Linked DNA regions of Schizosaccharomyces pombe. The gene in region 3 interacts genetically with the main gene of each other region. Each region holds a gene or a part of one and is shown on either strand. Other genes may lie near its edges.

Region 1 (4,760 bases), 2.6 Mb from region 3:
ATTATCTTTGTTTTTTGCTGTTCTTTAAGCAGGTCCCTTTGAGCATTCAACAATGTATCAAACGGAATCTCAGCTAACTCTTCAAATTTGTGAGTAAATATTAATTAAGAAAATAAAAGAATTTTTAACATACGACTTTTAGCTGTTTTTGATTCGTTGTTTGAGTCTTCATCGTCTTCTGAATCTTCATTATTAAAGTTTTCAAATTCTTCTTCTGAGACCAATTCTTCGTCGCTATCTAGATCATCTTCGTAAACACCCGCATTAGCAAGAGTCCCATTTTCAAGTGAACTTGATTTCATTTTGGCGATTTGTGAATGTCTACTACATAAAAGTATAAAACCTCTCTACATAGAGTATTTACCGTAGCGCTAAATATAGCGTTAAATTTGTAAATGCTTTATACTATTTACTATTGAAAACTGCATATTGAAGCCTCGAAGGAACTTTGAAAATATTCGTAGTATGTATATATCATCAAAAGTTTGAATGCTTTATGAAAATTGAAAACGTTTTACGAAAGCTATTAGAAAATTGGTACAACATAAAAAAAAAATTTGGAATGGATCATGCCTATTAAATATTTTAAATAAATTTGAATGTTTCTATACGTAAAATATGACATTAGAAAAATTCATCTACATTTTCGTTCTCATTAGCGGGAGGATAATATTGAGGCAGCGGTCGAGTATGTACAAATTCTTCAGGTTCGTTGGAAACATAAGTGCTTGCACGCTGTAAGGAAGGAGGAACCACCGCTTGATTTCCAATAGTATGAGAACGGTTCCTCGTTCTTTGAGTTGTAAGCAGTGGTTTTTGTTTGTCAATGCAGTATTGACTGAAAGAGGCACCTGTGATAAAAGGATGATTTTTCGCCTGGTCAGGAGTCCATCTCTTCAAAGGATTTAACTCTAAAAACTGCTTTATGAAATCGATGAAACAAAGTCTCTCTTCATGTTCTTCAGGAGTAAGCTTAGGTGTGGTTTTTCGGCGAGGATAATTTAAAACAATAGCATCGAGTGTCTTTTCACCAAAATATTGTTTTCCAGGTTGCTCTGTTTTGTTGTTTTCGATAGAAAACTGTTCGATCGATTTAAGCTCATAAGTTTTTCTACCGTTTACAAAACCAGAATTGTAATATTTCTTCGAATTTTTACCCATTTCTAACATCCAAGTGGGAGGATTACCAAGCATGTCAACAATCCGACATAATTGATTATATTCGGAATTTCCAGGGAACAAGGGAAGACCTAAGAATAGTTCAGCTAAAATGCATCCCAAAGACCACATATCAATTCCACAGTTATAATGTAGTCCTAAAATTACTTCCGGACTGCGATAGAATCGCGATTGAATATAGGTATAAACTGTTTGGCGTTCGTGACAAGCACTACCAAAATCTATCACTTTCACAATCGGTGATGATAAATCCTGCAACAGGATATTTTCCGGCTTTAGATCACAATGTATGATTCGAGCTTGTTTGAGGAGAGATGTGCACGATAGAAGTTGCGTTGCGAAAGAACGAACAAGACTTAAATGTAAACCACGGAACTGATTTTGCTTGATAAGCTCATAAAGATTAATACTGAGTAACTCAAAAACGAGACACAAATGATTTTTATGCATAAATTGATCATATAAACGAATTAAATGGCGCTTGTCTTCTGGATCGTACTTATTGTTAAGGAGCTCTAGTATAGAAACCTCCATCACACATTGGTTATAAAATGCCGGCTTATTTTTGATAACTTTAATAGCTACAATTTGTTGGGTTTTAAGATCTTGGCATCTAGCAACTTGACCAAATGTGCCATGCCCCAGGGTGTCGAGAATCAAATATTTACGGCCTTCATCCGTTCCTAGCAAATCGTTAACATACAATACATAATCATGATTGACGTTATCAAAACCATGGTTGTGAACTCCTTCACTGGGTTTGGTGAGTGGTCTCCGAGGGTTTTGTTCGGAAGAAAACTGGAATTTTGGATTACAAATTGAATATGTATCAGCTAGTTTCACAGTCATTGCTTCTAAGGGCTATATGTTTAATTAGTAAAATGCAGAGCAAGTAAAAAATTTCGTACGCTAATATAGCTTCCATGGGGAGACACCCTTCTGTAATTGTATTTCTTGGTTGCCGGTTTGACAGGAGCAAACAAAGTTGTTCCAGAAGACGAGACATGACGAGCATGATTATTACGCTGCGAGTGATCATGAGTCCTCGCAGCAGGAGGATTGTTCGATAATGGAAGAATGGGCGAATCCGAATCCATATGAATAGAGACGCCTTTTTGTAAAGTATTGCAAAGAATATATCAGTATAGGCAGAATACGAGTGCCTTCATTCACACTCGAATCACTTTAAAGTAACGTAAAATAGTGATCTCTTGGAACGTGAGTCGATGCACAACAGTGCAAAAAGGAACCACAAGTTATACTATTTACAAAGTAGTAGTTGACAGATTAACCAAAGGAATCTAAAAAAGAAGTGCTTTAAAGGAAAAAAGTCAAAGAGTTTGAAATGAACGCACCAACCGGCTAATCAATTTAATGGAACAACTGACAAAGAGCTAGTTTCGCTTACGATAATCTCGATCTGGAACAAAGGGAAACACTTGTGGATATGAAGCTTAAAATATGAATTTGGAGGAATCTTCTAATTTTCTTGTTTATAGCGTGTAGCTACAAATACAAATATAATATTCGGCAGAAAATCGAAAATATTCACTAAAATAAGCCGATAAATATGCACAGTGCGAGTTGAACGAATAACTAATCAACTCCACCGTATAAATTACAAATTTATACGAAAAACAACACTGAGAGATTTCGCAATTTATTGAAAGATGAAGGATTTAACCAAAAAAAGCGGCTTGGTTAAAGGATAGAGAGGAATCTGAAGGAAAGGGATGACGACACACCGCTTTGTAGTGAGCCGCGTGTAACGGCGCTGACGATGACTGAAATAAAGTACAATTGCTTGCTATGCCTTAATCAGTTTTACTGATTTTCAATCTATTACGTAATAGAGTGTATCAATGAATTAAAAGGCCGTCATTAAAACTTTGGCTTGCAAAAAAATACAAGAAAAAGTTACTAGAAGAGGATCTTTTGATTCTTATATTATTAAATAGTTGGATCTTAGATCCCAATTAAATAATTAAATATTGTTTCAGGTTTCCGTGACATGACTTAAGAAGGCGATAATTTCGCTTACATTAAGGTTCCTGCTCTTACTCTCCACAACGAAATCAATTCGTATTTGAAAAGACGAATGAATTTGGTGCAAAACATCCGTCTATACCAATAACCGCGATAAATAAGAAACAACTTCCATTGAAAGGCTTATTCGAAACATCAAGCGCAATGTTTACCAATAGTACGCATCCTTAATTCAGAATAGTAGCAATTTTTCGAAAAAACGGATATTCTCCATACTTAGTATATTTGGATGTTGCACAACCATGTAACCGGTTGGATATTAAAAGGAGGAAAAACGTTTCTTGTTTGGCATCTATCTGTAAATGAAGGAGTCGTTGTTAAAACATTCTCCACGCCGACTACATTCGTACATAAAAATTTTCGCATAAACGACAAACGAAATGGTTCCTAGTCCAATGTTCACACAAAAATCTGTAGTGAATGGACGAATATTGGTTATTGACTTCAAACATCTAAGGAAACATAAATAGACGCAAGATATCAGAATCGAACTAGCTTATATGTAAAAATGTTCCTACCAACTAATGCTCCTACGTACTTCGCATGACACTAGATAACATAAATATTTCAAATTTTAGATCGCTAACAAAAATTACAAAGCACAATGATATTCATGAAAGATATATGTTGTTTAGCTTTGAACCTTTATTGAAACTGGGAGTTCATTTTATTTATGAAACAACCATACAACGTTATGAAGTAATATTTTTCTGAATCCAAAGCTGAAGACGTTTAGTCCGTGAAATTCAAACATCCATTTACAATTGTGGTACCAAAAAGTTTCCCAGTCTGGATTTCAAGATGGCTACAGAAACTGCAAATACGCCAAGACTCACGAAAATGGAAGAGTTTTCCTTATTGACGACTAAAAGATGTTAAATTAATAGTTTTACAGGGACATACCCTTTTTGAAAATATCTTTTTGAGCAGAAATGCGATCCATTTTTGACTAAGTGGTTGAAGGAACGTGGCTAAATACCGACTTGTAACGTAATTTAACATGACTGTGATCGCTGCCATAAACAGTGATCAGGTAAAATGTATGGCTTCAATAACCCTAATTGATAACCCTAAGAGCTAGCTGTATGGATTTTGTTTTGCAGTAGAGGAAACATTCTATACTGCAATAGTTTTTTAAGACAAAACGCTTTATATTTAGTTTACTTGGTCTTACGAAATAATCAAGAGTAGCGCTGCGGAAACAAATTTTTTCCTTTAAAATTTTCCATAATCATTATCTTTTTTAGTATTTTTTCATTTTTTTTTCGGGGGAGGGGTTAGAATAATTTAATTCATTTTCTTAACAAATGTACATCTCAAGAGCATCAATATTTAGACAATTAAAACTTTCAATAAATAAACGATTATTTTTTTCGGATTATTAATTGCTAAGCAGATAATTGCTTGCGACAAGGAAGCAAAGTGAGTATACACTTGGTTAGATGGAAAATATAATCACTTCCTCATAATTAAATTGTTCAGCGTATTTCATTCATCAAAAGTAATTCTATAAACAACCTGACGCTGATTATGTA
Region 2 (3,475 bases), on a different chromosome or scaffold from region 3:
CCAAATCAAGACGTTATAAAAGAAATACCTGTTACAGCCTCTGAAACTTCTCCACCGCACGCACCAGCTGTCTCATCTACCCCTGTTACTTCTGCGCCCCCTGTTTCGCAAACAAAAGTTACAAAGGTTTCGGTTCCCAAAAAGACATCTAAAAAGTTTCTTATAAAACATAACAAGTGTATTATATCTTAAGTTGGCAATTTTTGCTCCCTTAGAACATCATTTTTATCATTGGAATCGATTTCTCCCCGAAATTTCGTTTTAGTGTTCAATTGCATTCACATAGCATAATCCGGTTTTTATTTCTCTCATTTGTCCTCGAATTGTCTAACGCTCATTTATAATTGTATAGTTAGCTGATATCCATTTAAGCAATTTCTTTTAAATACATGTTTTCATTCACTACTTTTTCGATAGTATAATACAAAATTGGATCACGAAGAAATACATACTGTGTAATTATTGTTTCATACAAATTAGTCGTCTCAATATTTGCTTTCTAATAGAATTAATAGTATTGAAATAAAAATTTATTAATTTAAATATACCTAGAACACAATCACCATTTTACCGTCCGTATATCACCATTGATGTTTACTTTGTAGCCTTCATGCGAATATACAAATTTTTGAGCTTAGATCCGTTAAATAATTTAGAATTTAATTTAACGTCTTTGGCCATACTTTCAAAATCTTCAGTTCCGTACTTATTTATAAGTCTTTGAATATATGCATGTTCAAATGCACTTAAAGGAAGCATTTTGTTAGACTGTCGAGCTGCTTTTTTTACAGCTTCTTCTTCTAGTTGACGAACAACCTCCGTTTTAGCCGGTGCAATGCTAATTTCTTTGTCTAAAACATCATCAAGTGTTTTTGCCTCTCCGTGAATAATCTCAATAATATTTCCGTCATCATCTCTTCTAACAATTGCTTGACCAGGTGGTAAAGATTTTTTCAATTCATCCAATTCCTCTGAGGTAAGCTCACGATCCTCATTTTCACGTTTAGGATCAGGATAAAGCTTCTCAACACCTCCCGTAACATAATTAGGAGTAGCTAAAAGACCCAACCTCGCATAACTATTTATTTGTTAATAGCAATTCTATAAGAAAGAAAAGAACATAAGACCAAGAAGGAGCGCAAAACTTTTTCCTCAATTTTCATTTGTATAAAACAAATAAAGCAATACTTATTAACTTACTTCTGCCTTAAGGTTGCATGTTTATCCCAATTTTGTTGAATCACAAAATTTCCGTAAATTTTGGCCTTCGCCTTTTTGTTAGCATTACGCCTGGTTAAACGAGGCTTTCCAGATCTTTGCTTATTCCTTTGTCTAGGGTTTGCCATCTTATCTATTTAGAGATAAATGGGGGGAAATGGAAATTGGTAAGCAATCAAAAAAATTTGGTTGTTCGTGAGTTTAAGTGGAGGTGAATGTAGACTACGTGCAGTATGTCTACATAATATTTCAACGAAACACAATAAGATAGTTCTGTGACCTAGTTTAACAATGACTGTTGTCCATTTAATTTATATTTCTCAAATTAATAGACGTTGACAGTTATCACATTTATCATCAATCCTTTTGGTATTGTATAAAATTTAAGTACCCTCATCTTTTTTTTGTCTACATTATAAAGCTGTATGAATTGTGAAACGATATAATATTCTCATAGAGATTTCAATAAAATCTTGAAACAAAATTTATAAATTGATCTTCCTCAACGAATACACTAATTTTAGTGGCATTCCAATATCTAGCACTAACTGTAAATTTCTAAAAATTCCCAAGAATTGTTGAAGTCGAGAAATCATGTATTTTACGTGTCGAATTACCAGAGTAAACAACAGCTATAGGATACTTTTAAAATCACTGTTTAGTCATTTGGTTTACAACTTTATTATATTAACAGTTTTAAATGAACCGACAATTGAAACACCAATTTTTTAATTATTTTTTTATGCCTAATTAAAGATTATTTTTATGATTTCGTTATTCCCTAACCCCAGTATAAAAAAAATTTCGTTTTCTCCTCGTCAAACTTCTTCTTTACCTGCTAATTCTAGTACAATAGTACAACGATTGTTATCGTTATTTGCTAACGTTCATTATGCGATGATTTCTTAGTTGCAATGTCTTAAAACCAAATATATTTTTCGTTGCAGTTCGCAAAATACATTAGCAAGAAACATCGCTTCTATACTATCTTTCCCGATCATTCAAAAGTCGAAATTGTCATTTGCCATCATCGGCTACTTTTTCATTCAGCATTTTTGGTTTTGAGTTTTTGGAAAATTAACGTTAGCACGTCTCAATTATAACAAGCTGAAAATGTCTGAAAAAGTTGACGTTGGTGAAAGCGTCAAAGGAGACGCCTCAGAAAATGCAGTTAAAGAAGTTGCTGAAAGACCAATTGTTATGATAGATAATTATGACAGTTTCACCTGGAACGTTGTTCAATATCTTTCTAATCTGGAAAAACGATATCCTATTATGGTTTTTCGCAATGATGAAATCACTGTCGATGAATTAGAAAAACTTAATCCTTTAAAACTAGTTCTCTCACCTGGGCCTGGACATCCTGCGCGTGATGGTGGTATTTGTAACGAGGCTATTTCGAGATTTGCTGGAAAGATTCCTATACTTGGTGTGTGTATGGGACTTCAGTGTATTTTTGAGACAATGGGTGGTAAAGTTGATTCCGCTGGTGAAATCATACATGGAAAAGTTTCTAAAATAAATCACGACGGTCTCGGATTTTACCAAGGAATACCTCAAAATATTTCTGTAACAAGATATCATTCTCTTGCTGGAAAAATTTCATCACTTCCTGATTGTTTGGACGTTACAAGCTGGACCGAGAATGGTGTAATAATGGGTGCACGCCATAAAAAGTATGCTATTGAGGGTGTTCAATACCATCCTGAAAGTATCCTTAGTGAGTATGGCAAAGAGTATATTCAGAATTTTTTGAATCTCACTGCTGGAACCTGGGAAGAAAATGGCATTGTTATGCCTACAAAAAATAACGCATTTAACGCGGCTATGCGTGAAAATTCGAATTCTGTTTCTTCAACTAAAATTCGCAAACAAGAATCTATCCTTGAGAAAATCCACGCGCAGAGACTTATTGACATTGCTGAAAGTAAAAGAAAGCCTGGTCTTTCTGTGGGTGATTTGCAAACATATTTGAACCTTAACATAGCACCTCCATGTATAAATTTTTATGAGAGATTAAAGCAATCTAAACCAGCTTTAATGGCTGAAGTCAAACGTGCTTCCCCTTCTAAAGGTGACATTAAGTTAGACGCAAATGCTGCTATCCAAGCTCTTACTTATGCTCAGGTTGGCGCCTCAGTCATATCTGTGTTAACAGAACCAAAATGGTTCAAAGGCTCATTGAATGATTTGTTTGTTGCGCGAAAAGCTGTTGAGCATGTAGCTAATCGGCCTGCAATTTTGAGAAAGGATTTCA
Region 3 (3,988 bases):
TTGTTGAGCCGGTAAAATGTACTAAACTCTAGATTCTGTGTGAGTGCGACGCGAATATGGGTTTTTAGTAAACTAAACGAAATGAAATTGTGCCACGTTGGAGCATTTATACTCTACATACCTTGAGAAAAATGTTATTTCGTATAGTATGTTTATGTTGTATATAGAAACTTAGCAAGGACCCTGTCAATTTAACAAACTGTTATAAATAAAATATTTATCGAGAAAATAATGAAGCAAGTTTATTAAGATTTAGTGTATAGCGAATTAGCAGGAATTAGCTTTATTAAGAGTTGCGAGATCTTCCATATTTTAAAAAGTAATTCAAAAGCTAATATACTTAGTGTATAAACTTTATATATAATATTTCTTTGCTATTTTAATTGAATAAAGGAAAAAATGATATATACTGTTTTGCTTCTTACATCCTGTCATTATCTAATTTACAGTTCGTTCGAAACCCGGCAAAAAAATCCGTTGATTAATAAATAGCTATCGTCTGCTAAATAGGGGTTAAGAAGTAACAAATTGAAATTTCGTTTGCACGAGCGGAAAAAAGGAATATTATTTTTTTGTAGCAGCAGTATATTGTTGAAAAGCTAATCTAGTGAGGATGTCAATATAAAAACAGTGATTTTAGAAAGACTCTGAATAATTTAATTCTTTGCTACCAGAATTTAACTTGCAATTCAGAAATTTATTAAATTAATAAATAAGCGACTTATCAGTTTGCATATACTACATTGCATTTTTCAAGTTTCCAGACACATAACCTTAGAAACGAGTCATTCATGATGTATCATTAAGAATTCATTTTGTAAACGCAGTAAATGACATTCATAGTATTTGATTAAGCATAAAACGAGAGATAAAAACATTAGTAACATTATGTGATAATATCTTAATTAAAACCAATTAATAAATTTTGGTTAATGAAACACCTGTGAGGTGATTCTGGTTGGTTCCATAATTGAAATTCATAACGAACGCACCTTATGTGCATGATTTGGACAGGACAGTCAATTCGAACATTGTTAAGAATAGTTATATTCTATATGATCATGAAAACGATAAAGAAAATTATTTTTTCACAGGAGTAGGCATATTTTGTAGTTCTATTTGTTCAATATCAGAACCAACTGTTGCATCTGAATGTAATGCTGTTTCTCCGTTATGTGTAGGAAGAGTGTTAGAAACACAGACGTCTCCTGATGTCACAATTTTAAAGCCGAAAGCCAAAATTAAAATCTTGTAGACCAGCCAATGGCCGAAATATAAGATTCCAACCATAGCTGCTATAACTCCTGCTATTGTTGCAGTGATAATCACACTGAACGCTGCTATAACTCCTGCTATTGTTGCAGTGATAATCACACTGAACGCTGCTATAACCACACCGACCCATGCTATAACCATACTGATTAACGGTAGAGCTTTTATAATAAGCTTGGAGCAGTCTACAATAAACTATTAGTAAAGAGAAAAAACAGCTTCAGTGTGAAGGAAACGTACAGTTAAAAGCAGACAATAAGAGTATGAATAAGCCAACATAAATAACAATAGGCCCCCAAATTTCACTGTGGGACTGATTTTCACCTATCCATTCTAAATATGACTCTTTTATTTTAAATTTCTTGTCTATTGTTAAAATAGTGATAATAGACCAAATAATAAGCAAGACCCATCGAGATTTGTCCTGAGTAGAAATTCTTCCATTAGGATAATAGCTATTGTGGAATTTAGAAAATTCAGTAAAAAGGTCATTTAAAAACTCTTTTATTTTATTTGTTTTAATATTCATCTTGTCTTTTTGAGGCTTAATGGTGTTGGTAAAGAGGGATTGTCGGGATTGTCGAGATCGTTGAGATTGTTTGTTTACCTTTTCAGGCTTACACAAATCAAGTCCCTGCTCTAGGTCCACATTACAAACATCTTCCACCATAAATAACTCATTGTAACCAGGAGGTTCAACCTGTTTTTTCAAGCTTTCTGGATTTGACATTGGAATAGAACGACAGCACTGTAATTTGATGACTTCTGATTCACTAGTATTTTTCCCCAAAGTAAAATTAAAAAGAGTGGTTTATGGAAAATAAAAAAGAAAATATACTAAAATATTTTAAGCCATAAACGAGAAAATTAAAAAAAAAACCAAAATGGTGAATGTTTTACGTTCTGAGGTGTCTCATTTATTTAGGAAAAGCATTATGATGTTGGCATCTCGTAATCCTTACAACCTTTTTCTTTTCACAATTTAACAGCTACGCAGTTTGGTATCTGTTTAACGATACGTATAATAGCGGTGAGTTTCTTTTGCGACCTACAAACTAGTGGTATGCGGTATGTCTAACTAACAATTGTTATAATTATTGTTATAAGGAGTCTAATGGTATCGGTCACCGATATAGCTAAATAACTGAACTGAGGAACGATGTTCAGTTGTGTCTCTATTTATAGTATTGCAAACAATATAGACTTTAATAAATCATCATCGAGATCTATTTAATTGTTGTATCATCTATCATTGTATAATTTGAATCCTTAATTATGACATTGCTAAGGATGATTACATTCTATATGATCATGAAAACGATAAAGATTAATTTTTTCACAGGAGTAGGCATATTTTGTAATTCTATTTGTTGAATGTCAGAACCAACTGTTGCATCTGACTGTAATGCCGTTTTTCCATTATGTGTAGGAAGACTGTCAGAAGTAAGGACACCACCTCCCGATGGCTCAACTTTTAAACCGAAAGCCATAATTAAAATCTTGTAGACCCCAATGGCCGAGATATAAGATTCCAGCCAAGGATATAAACATGCAGCAAAATTTTATTTTCCTACATTTTCTATTTTGCTATTTTCATAAATGTTTATGTTAGCATAATTTAATTTTTAGTCTTCCTTTTTTTTTTGTTCTAGATGAACAATAAGGCATCTAGAACACCATTAGAACAGAAGCTTTTTAGTTTAGATTATTTTAGATCTTTTGAAAACTTTAAAAGAGTAAAATGTAAATAAAAAAAAAAAAAAAAAAAAAAGTTAAGTTATAATTTATCGAATTTTATGTTGTTTTATCTTAATTTACTTTGTTTTATTTTATTTTATTAAGTTTTAATATTTTTGTTAATTTTTTTTTGTTTTATTTTAATTTACTTTGATTAATTTTCATTTTATTTATTTAGTATATTTATTTATTTTCTATCAAAATAGCGAAACTTGTATAATATATTAATTCATTATTCATTATTCATTATTTTCATTATCTATAATATTTCAACTTCATATACTTTTCTATTTTTGTCGCTATATTCATTCTACAACATGACATATCACTCTTCTTTTTGTTTATTATTACTCAAACATTTTCTCTTCTAATTAACGAAATTTAATCTTTTTCTCTATTTGTTTCATTATTGTTTCATTATCTGTTACTACTTTATTCTCTACTTTATTTTTTTACTTTCAATAACAATAACAAAAGTTGTACTTTTCTCTATCGTATTCAATTCCTATTTGACATATTCATTGCCAGCTGATATATCACCAGTAATTGTAACGACTGTTTTTTCAATAATTTAGTTGATTTGTTTTAGTGGAATAGAATGCACTAATTTCATCATCTACTTTCCAATATTTTCATCTTCTATCTCTTTCTCTTTCTCTTTCTCTTCCTCTTCCTCTTTTCTATCTTTCTACTTGAAATTCCTTTTTCTAATTGACATTCCTTTTTCTTACTATTACTCCTCTTATTCATCACTATACGTCGTTCAGTTGGCTTTATCGTACCCTTAACTTTTTTTAACGAAGCTAATATTTATCAAAAACAAACATCTGTTTTCATCCTACATACACGTACTCTTTTACTGCCAGCTACTTTGCATTTTTTTTTATTTCGATTTACTAGAGTCACTTGTTTATTTTTCTATTTACATTCTCGCAATGTATTTGTATATCTCTATTTATATCACCATACTTTATTCTAT
Region 4 (3,742 bases), on a different chromosome or scaffold from region 3:
ATGTACGAATTCAGTAAGGATTGTGTGGTCCTATCGGCATTATTTACGTGCGGTTGTTTTTGATCTTTTTGTAAATCATGTTTCTGTCCTTGCTGGCTTGGCAATCCGACGCCGGACCTTAAACCTGGATCAGCCATAAACTAGAAATGTGCAGAAGTTAGGTGTTGCGAACGAGAATATGGATCTACAACGATGCACGCTGGCGATATATAATTTTAAAGATCTGCGCACGCTATACTACCGCAACATTTTGTATATCATATTTTCATTTTAGTTTTCTATCAATTACTGAAAATCATAAAATCATAAATGTTATGTTTGAATTTAGTTACAGAGTAAATCAAAACCCTTGAAGAGTAAAACTCTATAGAGGTTTCTTATTTTCCAAGGCAAGTCATGCTCTAAAAACATTTTTAATAATAGTTATTATGTATATATTCGGATTTGAATTATCTAAAATGGGCTATATTAAAATATGGTTCTAAGATGATATACTTTCAATGAATCAACCAGTGGTAATTTCAGATTTTATATATGCAAACTTACTAACTGAAAACTGTGGAATTAAGGGATAGGTGGGTTTAGAAAGTAAATGTAAATTGATATTTCTTCATCCGTAAAAACATCATAATGAATTAAGAATACTATTAGCCGCAGTTTTTTGTAAGAATGCTGTAATTATGTAGATAGTATCAATTATTCTTGTTTTATTTACCTTGCCTTGGAAAATATACATATCTACAGCTTTTTACATAAGTTAGCGATGTAAATACTAAGCACTGGAACTCATATTATCATTTTCTAAAGTTGTTAGAAATGCTTTTAGTAGTAAAGATTTTGGAATGTGTTCACTATTCGAAAACTAGTTGCAAATTGTGTTTTTCAGTAAATCAAGCAAGATGCTTAATTTTGGCACTACAAGTTTTTAGAAAGTACTTACATGAAGATTGGAAGCTTTGCGTAAATTTGTTTAGTTTCACATATTCCACATTTTAGTTTTCTATAATTCATTTTTTATCAAGTAGAAAATTTAGTTTCTCTCTTTCATTGCAAATGCTATAATCCGGCTTTAGAACTACTATCTACTGGATAATCCTTTATTATTGCCATGCTAGATTCCCTGTAGAATTATGGATTTTGATATTAATCAAAAATTAATTTCTTAAAGTACAAATATATTCGACGGGAGAAAGTTTATGAAATTTTGTATGCGGTTATACCTAATCAGTGATTATCTCGTTGTTTATATTTCAATTTTTGAGGCGACTAGAATAGACAATTCAGCCCAGAAAACCGTACATACAATTTTTAAGTAGAAAAATTTGTTAATAACTATACCCAAAAAAAATGTGATTACGCATCTTTAGCTAATGGCAAAATGCTTCTCAAGTGTTTTTGATGGTGGTAAAATCGAGATAGACTAGATATTAAAGCCGCTCGTTAAATATTATAAGACATTAATTGATACTAGTGTTTTTCCTCAAGCACAAACAAGGTCTGTATATAGTATACGGAATAGATATTTCTTACAATTTATTTATACTGTTTAAACGAATTTTAAATGGCTTCCATGAGAAGGGTAAATTTTTAGGGATTTTGCCTGTAATCAAAATGTTGTTCATATAAATTCTACTTTAAGTCCTGTTTATAGGAATGAGCTCATCATTCCTCGTTATTTGAACACCAAAGAAAAGTCCGATTTATTGGTATTTTGGTTGTGACAGAAACCCCTGCGACGATTGTCGATCCGTTTTATATATTTTCCACTCCCGTCCCTGCTATTCATTTTACGTTCTAATTCTGAAAACTGTCAATCAGAAATTGCAGTTATTATATATAGTAAACTGGAAATGGATAAACGAAAGGAATCGGAGAGTGCGACTAATGGACATTTAGTATGTTCGATTGCTAAAAAAACATGCACTAATATAAATAGGTTAAAAGAATTAGAATCCAAGATTCTAGCTTAATAACGGAGGGTTCTGTATTGCAACGAACATCTGATCTCAATGTTCCAAACCTACAGATGTTTGGGCATACGGTATGGTTGTATTGAAATAAATCATACTAACGCTTTAGGCTGAAGTTTTAGTCGCCAGGTTCGATCCTTCTGGATCATACTTTGCTTCTGGCGGTATGGATAGACAGATACGTAAGTGCAGCTGTAATTAAAATGTTGATTTATAATAACTGTGGTTTAGTTCTTTGGAATGTGTTTGGTGACGTTAAAAACTACGGAGTATTAAATGGCTGCAAGGGAGCCATAACTGATTTACAGTGGAGCAGGGATTCACGCGTAGTTTACTGTTCTTCCTCCGATACACACCTCATGTCTTGGGACGCTGTCTCTGGTCAAAAAATCCGGAAGCATAAAGGCCACGCTGGCGTGGTGAATGCTTTAGACGTTTTAAAAGTTGGTTCCGAACTTCTGACTTCTGTAAGTGATGATTGTACTATGAAGGTATGGATATTGTTATTAAAATATGGAATAGTTACTAAATTTAAGGTATGGGACTCGCGGTCAAAAGACTGCATAAAAACAATAGAAGAAAAATATCCCTTAACGGCTGTCGCAATAGCGCAGCAAGGAACCCAAGTTTTTATCGGTGGTATTGACGGAGCTATTAAAATCTGGGATTTACGAAACAATCACTGCTCGCATGTTCTGAAAGGGCATAAAGATATCATTACTAGTTTGGCTATATCTAAAGATGGATCTAGCTTACTTTCTAATTCTATGGACAACACGGGTATGCTAATTTTTTTTGGGTGTTTGATCAACCTTTGTACTAATGCTATTTTAATTTATAGTTCGAATATTTGATGTAAAACCTTTTGCTTCTGCTCAACGACAGTTGCAAATTTTTGAAGGAGCTATTCACGGACAGGAGCATAATTTGTTAGGTGTTGCCTGGAGTCGTAATTCACGATTCGTTGGTGCTGGTAGCTCTGATAAAAACGTATATGTTTGGTCAGCCACAGGCGATTTACGTTATGTATTACCCGGACATGAGGGTTCAGTAAATCACGTTGACTTTCATCCACATCAGGACATCATTCTTTCATGTTCCTCAGATCGAACAATATTTCTTGGGGAATTGAATTAATTTTTATTTCATGAATAATTTTTCAATAAACATTAAATACTATTAAAATTTTCTGTAGAACTTATTATTTGACGATCTTAGTTGTCAAGCCTGTTATAATTCCTATAACTACAAGTTTCTTAGATTTCGATTAATTATCAAATTATATGCGTTATGAGTACATCTTTATGGTAATGATACATCATCTAATCTTATTTCTAATTAAACAGGTTAAATAACTTAGAAGAATGGATGAATGAGGACTATATTCGAGCAATTTTTGAAAATGTTAGAAAAGTAAACTATTATGAAGATGGCGAGTCGGGAGCTATTTTAAAAACTTGCTGCATTGAATTTGAGAGTCAAGATGCTGCTAGGAATGCTTTAGAAAGGCAATCTACTCAACGATTAATATCTGGGAACCCGATCTCTTTAGATGTGGTTCCTGAATGGCAAAAACCTAGTTACTATATGCTTTTCATTAGTAACATTGATCCAGAAGTGTCTGAAAATGATATAAAATACTTGTTTCAACGTTATAACTTTATTTCTGCTCGTGTTCTACGTTGTGTTGACGGGACTTCAACTAGCATTGCTTTCATATGGTTAGCTAATGAAAGTGATATACAAAACGCGCAGGTAGAGATGCAGGGTGC

What was found.
Region 1: mutations in SPOM_SPAC212.04C (region 3) and ppk15 together harm fitness less than expected from each alone (positive genetic interaction), as found in Schizosaccharomyces pombe (one large-scale study listed by BioGRID).
Region 2: mutations in SPOM_SPAC212.04C (region 3) and nop16 together harm fitness more than expected from each alone (negative genetic interaction), as found in Schizosaccharomyces pombe (one large-scale study listed by BioGRID).
Region 4: mutations in SPOM_SPAC212.04C (region 3) and spf38 together harm fitness more than expected from each alone (negative genetic interaction), as found in Schizosaccharomyces pombe (one large-scale study listed by BioGRID).

The regions. Positions count from the first base shown.
Region 1 is NC_003424.3:2,583,271-2,588,030, reverse strand, and holds ppk15 (serine/threonine protein kinase Ppk15), read right to left. Parts: upstream 2,859-4,760; 5' UTR 2,277-2,858; coding exon 2,088-2,276; intron 2,041-2,087; coding exon 625-2,040; 3' UTR 557-624; downstream 1-556. Other genes in the region: tom6 (uncharacterized protein), read right to left, coding at 3,984-4,090, 4,129-4,168.
Region 2 is NC_003423.3:4,378,357-4,381,831, reverse strand, and holds nop16 (ribosome biogenesis protein Nop16), read right to left. Parts: upstream 1,416-3,475; 5' UTR 1,347-1,415; coding exon 1,201-1,346; intron 1,079-1,200; coding exon 595-1,078; 3' UTR 509-594; downstream 1-508. Other genes in the region: chr4 (SEL1/TPR repeat protein1, 3-beta-glucan synthase regulatory factor Chf3/Chr4), read left to right, coding at 1-192; trp1 (anthranilate synthase component II), read left to right, coding at 2,332-3,475. UniProt on the Schizosaccharomyces pombe protein: Involved in the biogenesis of the 60S ribosomal subunit.
Region 3 is NC_003424.3:19,601-23,588, reverse strand, and holds SPOM_SPAC212.04C (uncharacterized protein), read right to left. Parts: upstream 2,003-3,988; coding exon 1,513-2,002; intron 1,458-1,512; coding exon 1,081-1,457; 3' UTR 539-1,080; downstream 1-538.
Region 4 is NC_003423.3:4,402,711-4,406,452, forward strand, and holds spf38 (U5 snRNP complex subunit Spf38), read left to right. Parts: upstream 1-1,719; 5' UTR 1,720-1,850; coding exon 1,851-1,895; exon of another isoform or gene 1,896-1,936; coding exon 1,937-2,041; exon of another isoform or gene 2,042-2,079; coding exon 2,080-2,152; exon of another isoform or gene 2,153-2,201; coding exon 2,202-2,461; intron 2,462-2,506; coding exon 2,507-2,750; intron 2,751-2,811; coding exon 2,812-3,107; 3' UTR 3,108-3,176; downstream 3,177-3,742. Other genes in the region: adn2 (transcription factor), read right to left, coding at 1-137; U1 snRNP-associated protein Usp109, read left to right, coding at 3,261-3,277, 3,317-3,742. UniProt on the Schizosaccharomyces pombe protein: Involved in mRNA splicing where it associates with cdc5 and the other cwf proteins as part of the spliceosome.